4 linked regions of the Caenorhabditis elegans genome follow. The protein of the gene in region 3 purifies or fractionates together with the protein of the main gene of each other region. This does not show direct contact. Each region holds a gene or a part of one and is shown on either strand. Other genes may lie near its edges. The genes, in order: rsp-3, Y48A6B.3, smg-6 and garr-1.

The links.
Region 1: the proteins of smg-6 (region 3) and rsp-3 fractionate together in Caenorhabditis elegans (co-fractionation; one large-scale study listed by BioGRID). This does not show direct contact.
Region 2: the proteins of smg-6 (region 3) and Y48A6B.3 fractionate together in Caenorhabditis elegans (co-fractionation; one large-scale study listed by BioGRID). This does not show direct contact.
Region 4: the proteins of smg-6 (region 3) and garr-1 fractionate together in Caenorhabditis elegans (co-fractionation; one large-scale study listed by BioGRID). This does not show direct contact.

Annotation. Positions count from the first base shown.
Region 1 is NC_003281.10:12,686,201-12,690,507, reverse strand, and holds rsp-3 (putative splicing factor, arginine/serine-rich 3), read left to right. Parts: upstream 1-2,591; 5' UTR 2,592-2,601; coding exon 2,602-2,771; intron 2,772-2,818; coding exon 2,819-3,206; intron 3,207-3,272; coding exon 3,273-3,491; 3' UTR 3,492-3,807; downstream 3,808-4,307. Other genes in the region: spin-4 (Major facilitator superfamily (MFS) profile domain-containing protein), read right to left, coding at 316-674, 1,739-1,879, 1,932-2,086, 2,142-2,181. UniProt on the Caenorhabditis elegans protein: Plays an essential role in embryogenesis.
Region 2 is NC_003281.10:11,006,223-11,010,152, reverse strand, and holds Y48A6B.3 (Putative H/ACA ribonucleoprotein complex subunit 2-like protein), read right to left. Parts: upstream 1,932-3,930; 5' UTR 1,923-1,931; coding exon 1,809-1,922; intron 1,759-1,808; coding exon 1,599-1,758; intron 1,554-1,598; coding exon 1,336-1,553; 3' UTR 1,224-1,335; downstream 1-1,223. Other genes in the region: exos-1 (Exosome complex component CSL4 homolog), read right to left, coding at 634-736, 784-902, 959-1,102; fipr-17 (FIP (Fungus-Induced Protein) Related), read left to right, coding at 2,551-2,694. UniProt on the Caenorhabditis elegans protein: Required for ribosome biogenesis. Part of a complex which catalyzes pseudouridylation of rRNA. This involves the isomerization of uridine such that the ribose is subsequently attached to C5, instead of the normal N1.
Region 3 is NC_003281.10:2,471,576-2,477,227, reverse strand, and holds the start of smg-6 (PIN domain-containing protein), read right to left. Parts: upstream 3,361-5,652; 5' UTR 3,348-3,360; coding exon 2,988-3,347; intron 1,887-2,987; coding exon 1,731-1,886; intron 1,119-1,730; coding exon 302-1,118; intron 1-301.
Region 4 is NC_003282.8:424,645-428,728, reverse strand, and holds garr-1 (putative H/ACA ribonucleoprotein complex subunit 1-like protein), read right to left. Parts: upstream 2,562-4,084; 5' UTR 2,560-2,561; coding exon 2,227-2,559; intron 2,179-2,226; coding exon 1,777-2,178; 3' UTR 1,525-1,776; downstream 1-1,524. Other genes in the region: Y66H1A.5 (Saposin B-type domain-containing protein), read left to right, coding at 18-207, 255-478; Phosphatidylinositol 3,4,5-trisphosphate 3-phosphatase and dual-specificity protein phosphatase daf-18, read left to right, coding at 3,581-3,791, 3,842-4,084. UniProt on the Caenorhabditis elegans protein: Required for ribosome biogenesis. Part of a complex which catalyzes pseudouridylation of rRNA. This involves the isomerization of uridine such that the ribose is subsequently attached to C5, instead of the normal N1.

The sequences.
Region 1 (4,307 bases), about 10 Mb from region 3:
TTTTTAAAAATATCCAACTACACCACTTTTAAATTGTTAGTAAAAAAAACTATTAGATCATTTAAATATAAATTTTTTAATCTCAAATTTTCGAATTAAAAAAAATAAAAATATAGAGACGCATTTTTTTAAATTAAAAATGAATTTTTGTTGCTCGAAAATGTCGAAAAAATAGTCCCAAAAACTTAAAAATCACACTATTTTTGAACTTTTAAATAAATTTACACTTTAAAAAATTCCGCAGCAACGCATTTTTTTTCTTCAATTTTTCCGATTTTTTTAATCAAAAAAAATTCTGATAATAAGCACACTAACATGGACATCAAGTACTTAATATCGCCAATCAAATCAGCTTCATCTCCATTCTGCCGTGCTCCATCACAAGCTCCCCTCACTGGTTCATCCAACAACCATAACATCAATCCAAGACAAGCTATTCCAATAATCGGAGAAAATCGAACACCCCATTGCCATGAATCTGTTGCCTGTGAAATACTTGACCCAGAAATGAATCCGAGACCACTTCCAACTGGAATTGCAAAATAGAACATCATCAGTACTCGACTTCTGAGGCCACCACTGAATAGGTCTGATAGGACGGTTGGAGCGATTGTGGAGTACGAGGCTTCTCCGATTCCAACAATTCCGCGGCACAGGAGAAACAGGTAGTAGTGCTAAAATTATTTAAAAATTAAAAAAAAATCAATTTTTTAGGGTAAAAAAACGCATTATTCACGAAAAATTGTCCCAAAAATCACCATTTTTTGCCCATTTTTCATTGAAAAAGTTTCTCAATTATCGCCTTTTGCATGTTTTTTTTTCCATTTTTTTCAGGTTTTTTAAAGCTAAAATTATGGCTCAGGGCCTGCGTGAAATCAAAGAGCATAAGGCGCAGATTGAGGCAGGCGAAGGTCACCTTGAGGTCAGGCAGGCAGGCGTTTCAACGCCTACCTGGAAGCCCTATCTTAAATGGCCGGAAATCAGTATTTTTTGGATTTTTCAAAAAAATTGAAAAAAAAACTCCATTTTTTCTGATTTTTGGACATTTTCCGCTTTTTTAAGAATATTTTTCACAAAAATCAATTTTTTGGAGAAAAAACGCATTATTCACTTGAGGGATTTTTCAAAAAAATTGCAAAAAAATTTTTTTTTTTTTTTTTAGTTTTTTCTCAGAATTTTGGACATTTTCCGCTTTTTTAAAGAATATTTTTCACAAAAATCCAAATTTGTGTTCTTTTTTTGGTGAAAAATGCATTAATTGCCCCAAAAAACTCAGATTTAAATTTTTTTTCTTCAAAATTTTGAAGCACTTTTTTTTTTGATATTCCAAAAAATATCTTAGAATTTTGGTAATTTTTCCGCTTTTTATAGGAATTTTTTTACAAAAATATTCTTTTTTTTCTCTTTTTATTCGATTTTCGCGGCAAAATATTCAGAATTTGTGTATTTCCAGTGAAAATTTGCCACAAAATAGCATTTTTCGCATGATTTTTGCAAAAATTGCCAAAAAAAGCGTTATAAACGTCATTTTTTATCTTCTCTCTTCTCGGTGTCATTATTCCATTATTGGATTGACCTCTAGAGCCTTCCCATCGGGCTCATTGACCTCCAGACCGCGATTTTCCCGCGTTTTTGGCTCCGCCTTTTGATCTACCACTGGAAGTGGGCTCAGACTGTCTTAGTAATTTATTCCAACATTATTTCCTTTCTATTATCGTTTTTTTCCCTTTTCCCTTACCCCTTCCCCACAAAAAGACGATGCAAAGACTGCTAAAATCCATATGCAAATTCCAGTGATCATTAGCATTTTTCGATTGTATCGATCACCCAAATATCCGAATAATGGCGCGAAAAACATGTAGAACACAATGAAAACTGTCTGAAATTATTCGGTTTTTAATTAATATTCCACAATTTTATTCAATTTTTACTTGCAAAAGGCCTTGCCCCTTATCGTCGATATCGAAAAATGTTGCAAGCCGCGACATAACTCCCACGATTGTGTATCGATCCATGTAGTTTAGCAGGTTTACGAGAAGCAGAATGGAACAAGTAACCCATTTCTTCTTTCCAGCAAGTCGGGAGGCTGAAAAAATCAAGTTTTTCGATTTAAATAATTAAATTTTCGATTAAAAACTCACCAACGTCCAAACCACTGCCTTCCTCAATTTCATTTGGCATTTAGAATTTCTGAAATTTATTATTTTTTCTTATTTTCTAATAAAAAACCGAAAACCACAAAAAATAAAAAAATACGTGACTAAAAATAACGCAGGCGCGCTCCACCGAACTCGTTCAAACTTGGCGGGAGAATGCTCATATGACGCGTTGCGGTCGCGTCGCGGTCGTTATTTTTTCGAAAACGAAGGCCGTGGCACACTCATTTCTTGTTTTTTCAGACAATTTTTATTATTTTTTCGAAGAAATGCTTGAGAATATTCATTTTTCTAAATTTTACTCGATTCTGGGTTTCTTTTCAGTCAAGTAAATGCAGTAATTTGAAGGATTTTAGGCCCAGTATTTTTTTTATTATCAATAATCTTCAGTCGCCGATTTTTTGCAAATAATCATAATTATTTCTTCATTTTCAGTGTACTAAACATGCCACGCGGCGGCTCAGAGGACCAAAAAGTCTACGTTGGCAACCTGCCAGGAGACGTCCGAGAGAAGGAAGTCGAGGACATTTTCCACAAGTATGGCCGCATCAAGTACGTCGATATCAAGTCAGGACGTGGACCGGCGTTCGCTTTCGTCGAGTTCGAAGATCACAGGTTCGTTTATTGATTTCAAATACTTTAATTAATCAATTTTATTCCAGAGATGCCGAGGATGCGGTTCGTGCTCGCGATGGCTACGAATTCGATGGCCGTCGCATTCGCGTCGAGTTCACTCGTGGAGTCGGACCACGTGGCCCAGGCGGTCGCCCACTCCAAGACGGAGGTGATCACCGCGGTGGAGACTTCCGAGGAGGACGTGGTGGTGGTCGTGGAGGTGGACCTCAGAGAAGAACCGGATACCGAGTGATCGTTGAAGGTCTTCCACCAACCGGGTCGTGGCAGGATCTTAAGGATCATATGCGTGATGCTGGAGACGTCTGCTATGCGGATGTGGCTCGAGATGGAACTGGAGTCGTCGAGTTTACTCGTTACGAGGATGTCAAGTACGCTGTTCGCAAGCTTGATGACACCAAGTTCAGATCACATGAGGTGAGTTTTTACTATTTTTGAAACTATAAAATAAATCAAAAATTGAATTAAATTTTTCTTTTTCAGGGTGAAACTGCCTACATTCGCGTTCGTGAGGACAACTCTTCTGGAGGCGGAAGCGGTGGTGGTGGCCGTGATCGTAGCCGTTCGCGCTCTCCAAGAGCCGAACGTCGTGCTTCGCCAAAGTACTCACCTCGTCGTTCTCGTTCCCGCTCTCGCAGCCGTTCCCGCTCTCGTTCTCGCTCGGCCAGTCGCAGTCCATCTCGCTCACCATCTCCACAATAAAGAGACAGCGTCTGATTCTTGAAACGGTATCGTTTTGCAATTTGAGTCGTCTGACAGAGAGTTCTGATACAACTATATCTTGCTAATTTCTTTTTTTTTGTGCTGTTTCTAATACAATTCCATGCCTCATGTTCTCCTGTTTACACACACCTTTTTCTTTTTATCGATCTTTTTGGATATATATATCCACAATTTCTTCTATTTTTTATCACCTATCCTTAATTCAAACAACCACATCCAAGTATTCATCAGCCCCACCTATTATTATTCAATAATTTCTTTTGTTGGAGGAACCACGAATAAAATGTTTTGTTTCAGCCTCCACTCCGCTTCATTCAAACTATTGGAGGAAAGGAGGAGGACTCTATAAGGAGGGAAACTAAAGGATCGCTGGACGATCAAAAGCGGGGACACACCATATCGATCGAGGATCGAATCGGTTTTTACACGATTTTCGAATCGACACACACACACACACACACACACTAGGACCCCCGGAAAAAGGATTTTATGGGAAAAGTTTTGGATTTGCCCCCTGGGTATTGTTAGGAACATAATTTAGTTAAATTTTGACCTGACGAGAGTAAAAAGAAGGAAAAATTTTACAGTTTTGGGTTCGAAAACCCCGAAATCTATTAGGAAAATCCCCTCGAATATGAGAAAAAACTAATCCGCCATGTTCAGGTGAGCCGGTGACCCGCTTCCCGGCTCACAAAAATGAATCAGCCAGGTGAGTTTCGACTTGGAATTTCGAATAAAAATTTTGAATTTTTGACTTGTGTTTTTACTTTTTTAAATTATTATTGAAAACAGAAA
Region 2 (3,930 bases), 8.5 Mb from region 3:
TTGCCTCTAAAGCAGTATCGCACAGAAAAAGAGGCGGAGCGTAATTTCGCAACCCTCCGGCACGGTTTTTCCACCTTTTTGCCAGTTTTCTACTGCATTTTTTATTGATTTTTTAAAATTTCACTTCTTAGTTAGTAAAATCTAAACTTCATTGAAAAAAATCAACAAAAATCAGTGTAAAACATGCGAAAAAGGAAGGAAACCCCGTGCCGCAGGGTTGCGAATTTAAGCTCCGCCTCTTTTTCTGTGCGATACACTACTTGGGTTCTCAGTTTGGGTCTCGCCACGATTTCGGCCCATATCTAATGTTTAAAAAAAAATTTTGCTCGAAAATCGCTTTAAAATAAGAAAAAAGAGGGAAATTTGTTTTTTGAGTAAAAAACCGAGAATTTCAGTTGAAATTTAGTGAAAATCAGTCTAAAATCAATGTTTTTCCGATGTTTCCACAAGAAATCAGGAATTTTGACGACTTTTCTGCAAAAAACCTTAAAATCGGCCATTTTTATGCGAAATTTCATAAGAATTTTCGCAAAAAAACCTAATTTTCTGCTAAAAAAAAGGTTTTTCCCACATTTGTAAGCAGAAATTCTTAATTTTTTCGTGGCGAGACCCACAATCCAGGCAAAATCCAACCAATTCAGGTTCCAGCGGCCTCAGCTTCTTTTTCGGCAGCAGCGCCGAGAACCGCTTCTTGTAAACCTTATCGCCGATACTGATGATGTCACATTTGGCGAATCTGCAATATTTTCTGTCGGTTTTCAGAGCAACGAAAAGCTGCTCTACCGTAATCCGACAGCCATCACTTTGGCGGTGACGATGGCTCCGTGGAATGGGAGAAGCTCATTGTCGAGCTGATCTTCGCTGCGGCGAACTTCGATCACTTGCACCAGGTTGTCGGATTTCTGCAGAAAAAACGGAAATTTTCGGGCTCCACGCTTGCGATTTGTGCGAAAATTACATCTCTGAATCCATAAACGTTGACAAAACCGGCTACCGACGCGAAGATCCTTCGATTCGCCTCGTATAATCCCTTCCCCATTCGATATTCACCAATCGCGTCGAGAACCTTGTCGCCGGGCGCCACAAGCGTTTCGGCGAGCATTTTCTGAGCTGAAAGTGGTTTAGAACGGGATTTGCTGTGATTTAGATTGATTTCGAGTAACAAAATTGAGTTTTGGAAATTACCGAGAAAGGATTAAAGAATAAAAAGAAAAAGTCTGTAGATAACAACAATTTAATGAGTGAACAATTGTGGATAAAGATGGTGATACAGATCAAGAAATTTTAAAAAATCAACAACAAAAAAAAAACAGTGAAAACCAGAGAAAAAACAATTTAGGCGGCCTCGACGGTGAGATGACGGAGAGCCTCGGCGACCTCGTCGTACAGCTCCTTGAAGTCCCCACTCGGCTTGACGAAGATCAGAATCGACGGGCGACGATGTCCGACGGCGAGTCCGAGCTGCTCACGAGATGGAATGTAGACGTATGGGATCTCCTTCTCCTCGCAGATTCCCGGAATATGTGAGTACACATCGATTGGAGAGACGTTTCCTGAAAAATTGAACGTTTTAAGGGAAAAATAGATTAAAATCCTACCAGCAAGAATGCAGATTCCCTTCTCGTTTCTGCGGAGCTCCTTCTGCACGTCCTTGATGCCCTCACGGAGGGTTTTATCGCCGGCGGAGGCCTTCTTGATGAGCTTGTACACCTTCTTGGCCAACTTGCGGTTTGCTAGTGGCTGAGCGATTGGGTTTACCTGAAAATAAGACATTTTTCATTAAAAAACCAGCGAAATTAATGATTTACCAGCTCGCAAAGTGCCTGGTACTCGTCCTTCTCGGTGGTTGGTGCGGTGGCGTCTCCATTGGCTTCTGATACGGTCGACTCGTTCATTGTCTCGTCCAGATTGCGCTTGCCCATTTTTTGATTCTGAAAATTCATAAGTTAATCGTGTAAATTAGCCGCAAAGTTCAATTAGCTTTAGGAAAAGAAAAACAATGAAAATGGGATTTTTGCAACAAAAAATCGATAAAAATCCTATTATGGGTGATTACATAGGAATTTTACGATATTTCATGGCTTAAAATTGATAAATATTATATTTCCGAATTTTAAAATTTAATTTTATCGAAAAAAATCGGAGAAAACCCGCAGAAAACTTCGAAAAATACAATAATTATGTGAAAATGCGTCAAAAGAGAAAAAAGAGAAATCGAATCGAAATGTGCAGTGGAGCGCGTTCGCCCACATCCCAGAGAGTGGAGACGCAGACAATTCGTTGGCGGGAATTCAAATTAGAGATTTTCAGGGAAATTCGTTTTGTTGAATTTTCAACTGTTCCTGACTCCGATTTTTGCAAGTTTTGCAGCCTCTCCGCTTCCCCGAAACGCTCAAACTTCAATTTTTACGAGTTATCATCAAAATCGCAACTAAAATATAACAATTTTATGTCCCCGAACCCCCCACCCGCCCCCTACACGGTACTATAAAAGCCAACTTCTTCCAGAATTCAAGCATCAGAAGCATCTTCTTCTTCTTCATCATCATCATGAACGTCTACTCTGTCTGCGTCTTCGCCATCTTGGCTATTTCTTCAGTTTCTGGAATCTTCTTGCCACAAGGAGGAAAGAAGTGCGGAGGAAGCAGTGGATACGGAAGCGGAGTCATCATCGGTGCACCACGTCCACAATAATTTTTGTGCAGTTTCTGTTGATTACTGATAAATATTGAACATTCAAACTCTGTTTTTTGGGCTTATAATCTTGTTAATCGCGCCGCAGGCCTTTCAGTTTTTAGGGCTTAGGCTTAGGCTTAGACTGAGGCTTAGGCCTAGGCTAATTCCTAGGCTTAGGCTTAGATGGAAAATCTATGACCTAATAAAATGGGACTTTGAAGTAGAAAGTTTGAAAAAAAAAAATCCCAAATTGGAGTTAATCTACGGGACTCTAAAGAAGTGCGAGACAAAATTAAAAAATTTCAAATTTATTTTTCTAGTCCAAAATGCTCCTACATATTGAGCAGTTTTCTGTTAGGTAGTTGAGGCTAGGTAGGCAGGCACGGTTTCAGGGCCTCACGAGAGGCAGGCGGAGGCCGCCTTAAGGTCAGGCAGGCAGGCGTTTTGGAACCCCTAACATTAACAATTCGACTTGCGTTGTATGATTTGAGTGTATTTGCAAACTTATATTTTCCGTGCAAATGATCACAAGGTTTTTAAGCATCGAAGCATACATCTTTGATGCTCCCGCTCCCGGAACTAACTTTATCGATGTGGGTGGAATAAAAGCCTTCCGATCACAAACCTTTTCCTCACTTCGGTTCTTCAAATGAACATTTATTGCGTTTTAGTGTTTGCTGTACTCTCCATCTTGTCGGTTGTTGGAAAACCTCGAGCTAACCATATTCGACCTGCCTCAGACCGACATATCATCATGGGATTCGACCTACCATCCAAGTTTGGATAATTCAAACTGAAGCAATTAATTTATGAATAAAAGTTGAACATTGTCTTGAAAATCTTGTTATGAAATTTGGGATAATCTGGTAATTTAGAACCATATGATTTTCCAGCACTTTTGAATTTTTGAAAAATACAGCTTTTATATATTTCTATCAATTTTTTAAAATACTTGCGGACAAGCTAGTATACTTTTTTTGGTATTTTCTGGTATATTTGGCAATGCTAAACAGTTTTATAAAATAAAAAAGAAGCGCTTCATATGATTTTATAGTACTTTTGAATTTTTGAAAAATACAGCATTTACATTGACATACCAAAAAATAGATTGACATACCAAAAAATAGATTGACATACCAAAAAATAGATTGACATACCAAAAAATAGATTGGCATACCAAAAAATAGATTGGCATACCAAAAAATAGATTGGCATACCAAAAAATAGATTGACATACCAAAAAATAGATTGGCA
Region 3 (5,652 bases):
CGCAGAAAATTCAATTTTTCTTGAAATTATCGATTTTTCACAGTGGGGCGCGTTTGCACTTTTTATTTAAAAAAAATTCAATTTTTTGTGCTAAACCGCACTTGTGTAGATAAAATCAGAATTTTTATCCAAATTCTACTATTTCGATAAATAAAAGACATTCAAAATAGAGGACAATGCAAGTGCGTTCCACTGATAAAACGCAGAATTTTATCGATTTTTTCAGCTTTTCCGTGATTATTCCTCTATTTTTTACACTGAAACTGGCTGAAAAATTTCCAAAATTCCCAAAAAAACTCACGATTTCCCCCGGCTTCCGTCCCATTCTGCGAGCGCTGCACAATCTGAATTCTCCCAGCAAGACGTCCCGACGACATATGGTTCTCCAGCGTTCCATGATACTCCGAAGCATCATCATCCCGATCGTCATGCTCACCGCGGTACCGTCTCGGCTCTTTCGGCTTCTTCTCCACGGCGGCGTCTCTTCGTTTCGGATGGTTCTCGTCGTTGGCTCCACGTGTTCTCTGGTACAGAACACGTGGATTATAAGAGTTGCCGCTTCGCACAGAAGTCGGAGTTCTCTCACCACTTTTGAGCTCTTCCTCGGCTTCTTCTTCCTCTTTTTCCTCGGCGATACTTCCACCGAACGAGCTTTCTCTGTCGGATTCATCGGGATGGTACCGACTGTTGCCTCCACCTCTTCGATTATTCCTTCGGTTATTTCTCCTCGGAGACGCCGCTTTCTGAGCTTCCTGAGCAGCAGCTTCTTGAAGCTTCTGCTCCATCCGTCGCTCTTCCTCTTCCTCCTGCTCTTTCTGCATTGCAAACTCATTTTCCACCTCTTTACTCCAATCCATCGACGCGAAATTCTGCAGGTTCTGGCACATTTCCTCGAAACTGAACGCCTCGCCAAGGGAATTCATCGAGAAATTCGATGAGGCTCCACACTGAGATGCCGAGTCGAATGAGGTGTCAATGTGAAGTTGAGCACCGGTTTGAGGTGGCATTTCTGATTGGGTAGAGTTGATGGAATCGTTGCGTTGGCGACGGGATCCTTGAGGACGTCGGGCGATGGCGCCGTCCCCGCGCATGGAAGCTCGCTCGTTGAAGCCGCGGGTCTGGAAATTGAAAAGATTTAGCTTTAAAAGTTTGGTTGTTTGAACAAAAAAAGCTTTAGCTCAAAAAATATTTGATACGCAATTTTGTAAATGCGCGTCGTGTTTGCGTACTTGACTATCGTACTCAATGGTGATTTCCGCAAAAATTTATGTTTTTTTTCGAGAACGGACAATTTTCTAAGGTTGTTCAGAGTTTTACAATTCGAAACGGTATCATGCCTTCTTAAGGCGGTATTAAACGTAATTCTAAGTTCAGATTGTCAAATTTCTCAAATTCTGACAGTTTTCACCAGTAAAAACCTCGAATTTGTATGGAAAACTGTCCAGATTGATAAAATCTCTAGCTTTCTGTACTAGACGTGAATTTTCTTGAAGTGGGCTAATTTCTAAAGCTTTTCTCAGCTGTTTGGTACAATTTCTACTAAGTTTTACAGTTTTAGACTAGAATTTGAGCGATTTATCTCTTTTTCCCCAAAATTTCTTTTTTCCTAAAGTTTCCATATTCCCATCATACCTTACTGATCACTTCACATCCCACACATCCCATTAATTCTAATTAATTCACCCCTTCTCCCCCCCAGACACTTCCATTAAGAAAACCTGATAACCTACATAATGATTTCCGCCGGGTCGTTCGAACGGTTGCCGATGCTGCTGATGCTGCTGGTTACTGTATCTCCCATTATTCCGGTGATTCGATCGGTGGTTGCCCTGGTACTCCATATAGCCACCATGTTGCCGTGTGTCGTAGAGGGATTGTGTGGAATTCTGGAATTGGAATGGTTTTCGTGGGATTTGGGACATTTGTAGGGGTGTGCAACTTTTCAGTCAATTTCAGACTTTTGTCTAGTTCTGGGGATTTGAGTTCAATCTTGAGCAATTCTTAGCTTTTTTCCTGGAGTCTTCGAGACAAAATATAAGTTTTCAGCCAGTTTGAAGTTGGGTTCAGTCGGGTTTCATGAGAATTTGAGACCTTTTCCAGCTAAATTCCAGAGCCAAAATACGTGATCTCACGTGGTGTCAGAGTCTCCAATTTTGGCTTGATCTACGTAGTTCTACAAAAATTGCGGGAAAAGAGACGCAGAGTTCTCATTTGATTTCGCATTGTTAAGAACGTGCTGGCGTCACATTTTTTGGCCAAAAAATTCCCGCATTTTTGTAGATCAAACCGTTATGGGGCAACTTGATACCACGTGATTTCTCAAATTTTGAGGATTTTGAGTTACCTTCAGCCGTTCCACAGTGGCTTTAGAGTTAAATATTTGGATTTTTGGCGTTTTTGGGGATTTTCAGCCAACTAAGGTATTTTCTCGTGCTAATAATGAGTTTTTAAACAATTTTTGAGGGTTTTCAGTCAATTTCAGCTACTTCATAGTGAAGACTTTGGGTTTCGAGAGATTTACTGAAAATTTTTGGCTTTTCCCGTAAAAATATCAGTTTTGCCATAGATTTTAAGATTTTCCGTTAATTCAAGTCGTTTTCTAGTGCTTTTAAGGTATTTTGAGACATTTTCAGCTGAATTTGGGGCTTTTATCATGCTAAAATATTAGTTTTTCAAAATTTGCTGAGGGTGGTGTCAGGATGTCCCATCACGGTTTGATCTACGAAAAATACGGGAATTTTTATTACCAAAAATGTGGCGCCAGCACGTTCTTAACCATGCAAAATTAGTTGAGAACTCTGCGTCTCAACTCCCGCATTTTTTGTAGATCCACGAAGATCACGTCAAAATGAGGCACTCTGACACCGTTTCCCCGTGCTAGATAATGAATTTTTCCAAAATTTTTTGAGGGTTTTAGGTAATTTCAGTTTTTTTCTGTAGTGTTAGGGTAGAACTTTTGGTTTTTGAGCGATAAGATAAAAACTTACATAATTCGATGGCCCATCTGTTCTCTGTTGTTGTCGATAGCCTTTCTCAAATCGATTCCTTCCTCCACCTCGCTCATTCATGGCATTAATCACATTTGCATCGGGCGTCGTACTTCCAGATCCACCACGTGACGTCACACTGTCCGTATCGTTGCTTCTTCGTCTGGAATTGCCCGACATCGTCGTCGTTGTTGTGTTCAACTTCTCCGGGCGTGGTGGTCGTGCTTCTTCGTTCGTAGAGCTCAAGCTTTTCGTGCTCCCTCCCTGGCGGAGCATTCCTGGACGGTAGATTTGAATTTCTGGGCGCGGTTTTCGTGGAGCTCCCGTCCTAGATGACGAGGCGTCTGTGTCTCCGTTCATTTTGCTTGGTGAGCTGGAAATTTGGAATTTTGAGATATATCATAAAAGAGAAGCATGTAACATACAAAAAAAGGAAAATACAGATTCAGGCATGCCTACCTGCCTGCCTACCTACGCTATAAAACTGCAAAAGTTCAGGAGAAAAAGCTATAATTGAAGAGAAAGCACGCGGTGTCAAAGTGTCTCATTTCGGCTTGATCTACGTAGATCTACAAAAAATGCGGGAGAAGAGGCGCAGAGTTCTCAACTGATTTTGTATGGTTTCACATTTTTCTGGGCAAAAAAAACCGCATTTTTTTGTAGATCAAACCGTAATGGGACAGCCTGGCACCACGTGAGAACGGAGTTGGAGCAAAAAAATTTAATTAAGAAAAGGTGTTGACAGCGGGCTTTACGAGGGGATGAGCAGAGGATAAACAGATTTTTTCGCAAAAATTCGTCATTCCTCTAGATTTTAGACGGGATTTTGCATTTTCTAAAGCTGTGGGTGTTGGAAAACCGAAAACCGCCGTTGAAAATAGCTAAAAATCCGTGGGAATCTCCAAAAAAGCGTTGAAAACTTCAATTTTGTACCTAGAAATCCAGGAAAAAGCTGAAAATTGGTGTGATGTCAGAATGCCCCATATCGGTTTGATCTACGTAGATCTACAAAAAATGCGCGAATTTAGCCGCAGACTTCTCAACTGATTTCGCATGGTTAACACTGTGCTGACATCACATTTTTTGGGGAAAAAAATTCCCGCATTTTTGTAGATCACACCGTTACAACCTACCACACCACGTGGGAAAACTCATAGGTTCGACGAGAAACTTTTTGGTTAAAACTTTAAAAAATGTCATATTTTTAGGCTGAAACTAATATGAATAGTTAAAACCAAGCTATTAAGTTCTGAAAACCATACTTTATATAAATTAAGGGCCTTTTGGGTCTGGAAATTCGGATTTTTTGAGATTTTCCCTCCCAAGAATACTAGTAAACCCTAAATTTCTCCGATATCACAAGATCGCTACTTTTATTTCGATTTTCGCAAAGTAACAAAAAAAAAGTTTTATGTAACTTTTATGTCCCCCCACCACCAAACGTTTTCCTGTTCCGAAATGCAAACACATACAACACAGTGAAACAATTCTTATCACTGGTGGAGCGGGTACCTTCTGTTAAGCTAAACAGAACATACACGTCGGCGGGGTGGGGGGAGGGAAGGGGTAATTGTTTGATTAGCCACCCATCAAATAGAGACATGGGAAAGTACATGGGGGGTAACAATGGAATTTTCGGTATCGATTTCTAATTGGGGAAGACTCTAGTAGAGGCTCATTGGAAATTGGGAATTAAATAGCGTTTATAACCGAAATTTGAAATAAAAAATTCAAGAATATGGTAGTTTTCAAAGTAACGTTTCTAATTGGGATTTTAAACAAAAGTACAAAAGTACTACTAAAACGAAATTTGACAATTCTTTTTGCTCAAAAATTAAATTTCGTCATTTTTTAAAATTATATATATATATGTGTGTTGTAATTAATTACAATGCTCAAAAATGCAGCAATTTTTCAAATTTGAGCAATAAATGTTGTCAATTTACGTTCTTTTTCGATTAATATAGTAATTAAAGTAAGCTTTTTCAGCCTACTACAGCCTATTTGGACTAAAAAAAAACGGACCTCACAGAAATGATATATTTACTGATTTTTTCTCCCTCAGAGAGCAGTATAAACACACACGTGCATTGTAACAAAAAAACAGGGAACGAAAAGAAAAGAGTGAATGGGAAGAGAGAAAGAGAAAATGTGTGATATGAATTGGGCAGAGAAAAGGGATGACGGCTGGAGACGCTGAGAGGAGGGTGGGGTACGCAATTGTGCGTCGAGGGGGGAGGGGGTGTAATTGCGGACTATGGGAAGATGAGTATGACCTTTGGCGGAGAAGAAGAGGACCGTGGGAATGGAAGGGGTTCGCTGTGGAGGTTTTTTAGAATGTTAGACGTTATCAGCGATGTTAGAAATTAAAATAAGTATTAGGGTGAGCAATAAGTTTTTTCGTCTTTTCTCAGTTTTCATCCTTTCTCAAATATTTTGTATGTGGTACATAGTGTGGTACAAGCCTTCGGGAGCTTCCTGGGTTATCGGTGAATTTTGGGCGGTCGTTGTTGGGTGCCGCATGTCTTCGACCCTCGCTAAGTGTGAGGGAGCCGGGTAAAACCGCACGTTCGAACGTTGTAAGCCCAACTCTCCAGTACTCCTTCCTGAAGGAGTCTTGGTTTGTCTGCTGAGTGATGGCGTTTTCGGGTTCTGAGAGGTTCAC
Region 4 (4,084 bases), on a different chromosome or scaffold from region 3:
ATACTAAACGTTTACAGATCATTTTCACGTTACATTCGGAAATCCAGAAAACGCCTGAAAATTTTGAAAAATCCTGGAATGCGATCTCCACTGCAGTTGAGAAATGTTCTAGCAACTTCAAAGCCATGGTGATCAGTGAAGATGTTAGCAATACTCAATGCACATTATGCTTCTTGGTTTACGATGTTCTCAAGTATATAAACTATAGTAAGATCGTTTGTTATTCTCTGGAAATCCAAATATTATCCATTCAGACATTCTTGAGAATCCAATGTTGGCAACCGTAAAGGCAGCGCTTGGTGAGGCATGCCCCCTTTTTAATGATGACCTTTGTCAAGCGCTCTTCCAACCGGACACCTTCGGAGCCATTATTCGAGGTCTTCAGGACTCTCTTGGTGGATTCTATGACCTCATTGCTGTGCAGGGATTCCAATGTCCAACGTTGGATCAACTTTTCGTGAAATGCAAAGGCCAATGAAGGATTTCAAATAACTAAACTAAAGATTTTACACAGCGCTCTGGGGCAAGGATTTTTGGAGAATGAAACTTCAAAGAGTGCGTTAGAGCGCGCTTGCACACTTACCGAATGGGACAAAATTCCGCGATTGTTCAAATTTTTTAGATGGAATTTGGAAGAAATAATAAAATACTGAAATAATTGTTACTTTCAAAAAGTTTTAAAGAACATTTTACTGAAAAAATTCAGTATCTGGCTGATTTATCATTGATTATCGAACAAGTAGATCAATTAATTTTTTAAATCATTTAATGGTGCGTCCATAGTCTCAGGAAAACGGGAATTTCCCGCGGTCCGAGGCGTCTATAGTGCAGGGAAAAAACGGAGTTTCCACGCATTGTTTTCCTCAAAATTCAAAAAAGTAGGCGTGGCCTGCAGTTTTTCCACTTTCCCATTGTTCAGCTCAAAATTTTACAGCCTCTAATTGGTTGGGCACGGCCACTTTTGAAATTGACCAATAACGAAGCGAGAAACTCGCTCAATTTTTCCGCATACTATGGACGCCTCGGGTCGCGGGAAATTTTCGTTTTCCGCAGACTATGGACGCACCATAATAAATTGAGCCCGTAAATCGACACAAAAGCTACAGTAGCTACTGCAGTAGTCCTTCTAAGAGTTACTGTAGTTTTGGCTACGAGATATTTTGCGCGTCAAGTATGTTGCGCAATACACTCAAAATAAGAAAACTGCGTGGCGTGTACTGCAGAAAACCTCATATTTAGGCCCCGCCTTTTGTGGCGTGGTACAGTATGTACACTGCTGAGATTAGAACAATGAAAATCGCTCAGAATTATTTTTATCTTCAGCCGTTTTGATTGAGAGCTCTATTCTGTTAAAATTTCAAATTTCAAAAGTTAACCTGTATTGCAAAATTTCAATTGCTAATTGCTACTTTACTACTTTCTAGATTTTGTTCTCAAGCTAAATATATAATTTTCCAGTGTAATCTGTCAAATTAATGGCTGGAACTTGGTTGCGGCGATTAAAAAATGTTATAAGAACGATATATCAAAGCGCGCTTAAATGCGAACTCCAAATTTTATTCGCCAAAAATGCTTGCCTCAGAGCGCTGTGTGATTAGTGAAATAAAATAACTAAATTATATGATTATTATAATGTGTATAAAATACCAACAAGTTCAACAAAAAAGTGATCAAAAAATGAGGGCAGATGAGAAAAGGAAAACAAAGAAAATCAACAATTGGTAAAAAAAAAGGATGAAAACAATTGGAACATACAGTTTTTTAGAGAAGAAACAATTATTCGAATTTAGTTCTCTTATTATTCTGTCCTCCGAAACTTCCACCATCGTATGATCGTTTGAAGTCTCCACGTCCGCGACCTCCGAAGTCTCCTCCACGGCCACCACGGAACCCTCCACGGTCTCCGCCTCGGAATCCTCCACGACCACCGCCAAAACCTCCGCGATCCCCGCCTCTGAATCCACCGCCGCCGCCTCTTCCAAAGCCTCCACGACCTCCACGGTCACTGCCACGTCCTCCACGATCCCCACCGCGTCCGCGACCACCTCTTCCACGCCCTCCGCCGGCTTGTGGAAGGAAACGATCAACTGGTAAAAGCTTTCCGGGATCAATGTACAGCTGAGACTCTGGTTCGAATGAAGAGGCTTTTACTCCTTGTGACAATGTGACGGAGAATCCCTGCAGCGAATAAATTTATGATTAATTTTCAATTAAGAGATTACTTACGTTCTCCCCGGGGGATCCAAAAATCTCGTCGATTTTTCCGACTTGTTCCTTATTCTTGAAGTAAATTGGAGCATTGAAATATGGGATTTTTCCACTCGTATTGTTGCAAACAATATCATCTTGGCACTGATGGGAGAAGACACCGACGAGCACAACTTCCTCTGGTGGTCCCTGATCGTAACCTCCACGGCCGCCCCCTCCGAATCCACCGCGTCCTCCACGGAAGCCACCACCTCTGTCACCGCCGCGACCTCCACGGAATCCACCGCCTCCACCGCCACCACGACCACCTCGAAATCCACCACCGCCTCCACGTCCACCACGGAAACTCATTTCTGAAATGTCAAACAATTTTTGAACTTTAAAGTTATTCAAGTGCAAAATAAAATCAAACTGGACATAAAAATATATTTGTTGAGAAATTCAATAGAAAAAATTGGTATTGCAAAACAAAAAGGGGTTTTCTTGTACATAATATTCACAGAAATTTCAATTTTCTAAATATGAGAAAATTAAGAAAATCACAAGAAATTGATTTTCGCCTATTTCGAAGAATTTCATCGCACTATACAAACTTTAGACTCTAAATACAACTTATAAATAACGATTATTTCGTTTTTTGCCAGTTTTTAAACAAGAAAATCAATAAAAACTATTGGAAAACGTTAAAAAATATCGAAAAAAAAATCGAAGAGAAGAGAAAAATGCAGTGAGAAGAGAGGCGTTCGTGGCGAGACCCGTGCCGTTTGAATTAGCGTGCGCCTTTAAGAGACATTTTTTGGATTTTGTTTTTTCGCCGCGAAACCGATCTTTTTCGGTGTTTATCTGCTTTTTCGACAATTTTTATTCATTTTTTCTTGATTTTTCAATACAAATAAACATTTTCCACACGTAGGTTATAAAAATATCCGAAATCTTCCTATTTCTTGGTTGAAAATGCTCATAAATCAGTAGACCAAAATTTTGCTTTTTTGATCAAATGATTTCATATGATCTTCTACTATTGGCGCTGGCGGGTATTATTTTCTAATAAATCAGTCTTGTTTTTTTTAAGTCGAAAATACGCATATTGGCGATTTTCAACGGATTTCTAGCTCTTTTTCAGCTCATTCTTAACGAGGAAATGTAGTCTGTCTTTCTGCTCCTCTCGTATCTCTCGGGTCTGAGCTCTCTGCGTGAACAAATCTGAGCTTTAGCATGAGCTAGTTAATCCCTTAATCCTTTGCGCTCATTTGGCATTCTATTCTATCACACTTCACCTGACAATGTTTAAATTATAAAATTCGCTGAAATTCTCTTCTAATTCGTTCCTCTTCATGAATTTGCAGTTTCCAGGTACATCTACTAACCCCCAATGGTTACTCCTCCTCCAGATGTGCCAAGCACATCGACCAGGTCGATGGCTCGTGACCTTCAAGAGAATCCAAACCGACAACCTGGTGAACCACGTGTGTCTGAACCGTATCACAATTCAATCGTCGAGCGGATTCGCCATATTTTTCGGACGGCTGTATCTTCCAATCGTTGTCGCACCGAGTACCAAAATATCGACCTAGATTGTGCATGTAAGGCACTTCTCTTGAGTTCAAAGCATTTCAATTTTCAAAACTTTCAGATATCACAGACCGAATCATAGCTATCGGTTATCCAGCAACAGGAATCGAAGCGAATTTCCGTAACTCAAAAGTTCAAACTCAACAATTTCTGACCAGGCGGCACGGAAAGGGCAACGTGAAGGTGTTTAACCTGCGCGGTGGATACTACTACGATGCGGATAACTTCGATGGAAATGTTATTTGCTTCGATATGACTGATCATCATCCGCCGAGTCTCGAATTAATGGCTCCGTTTTGCAGAG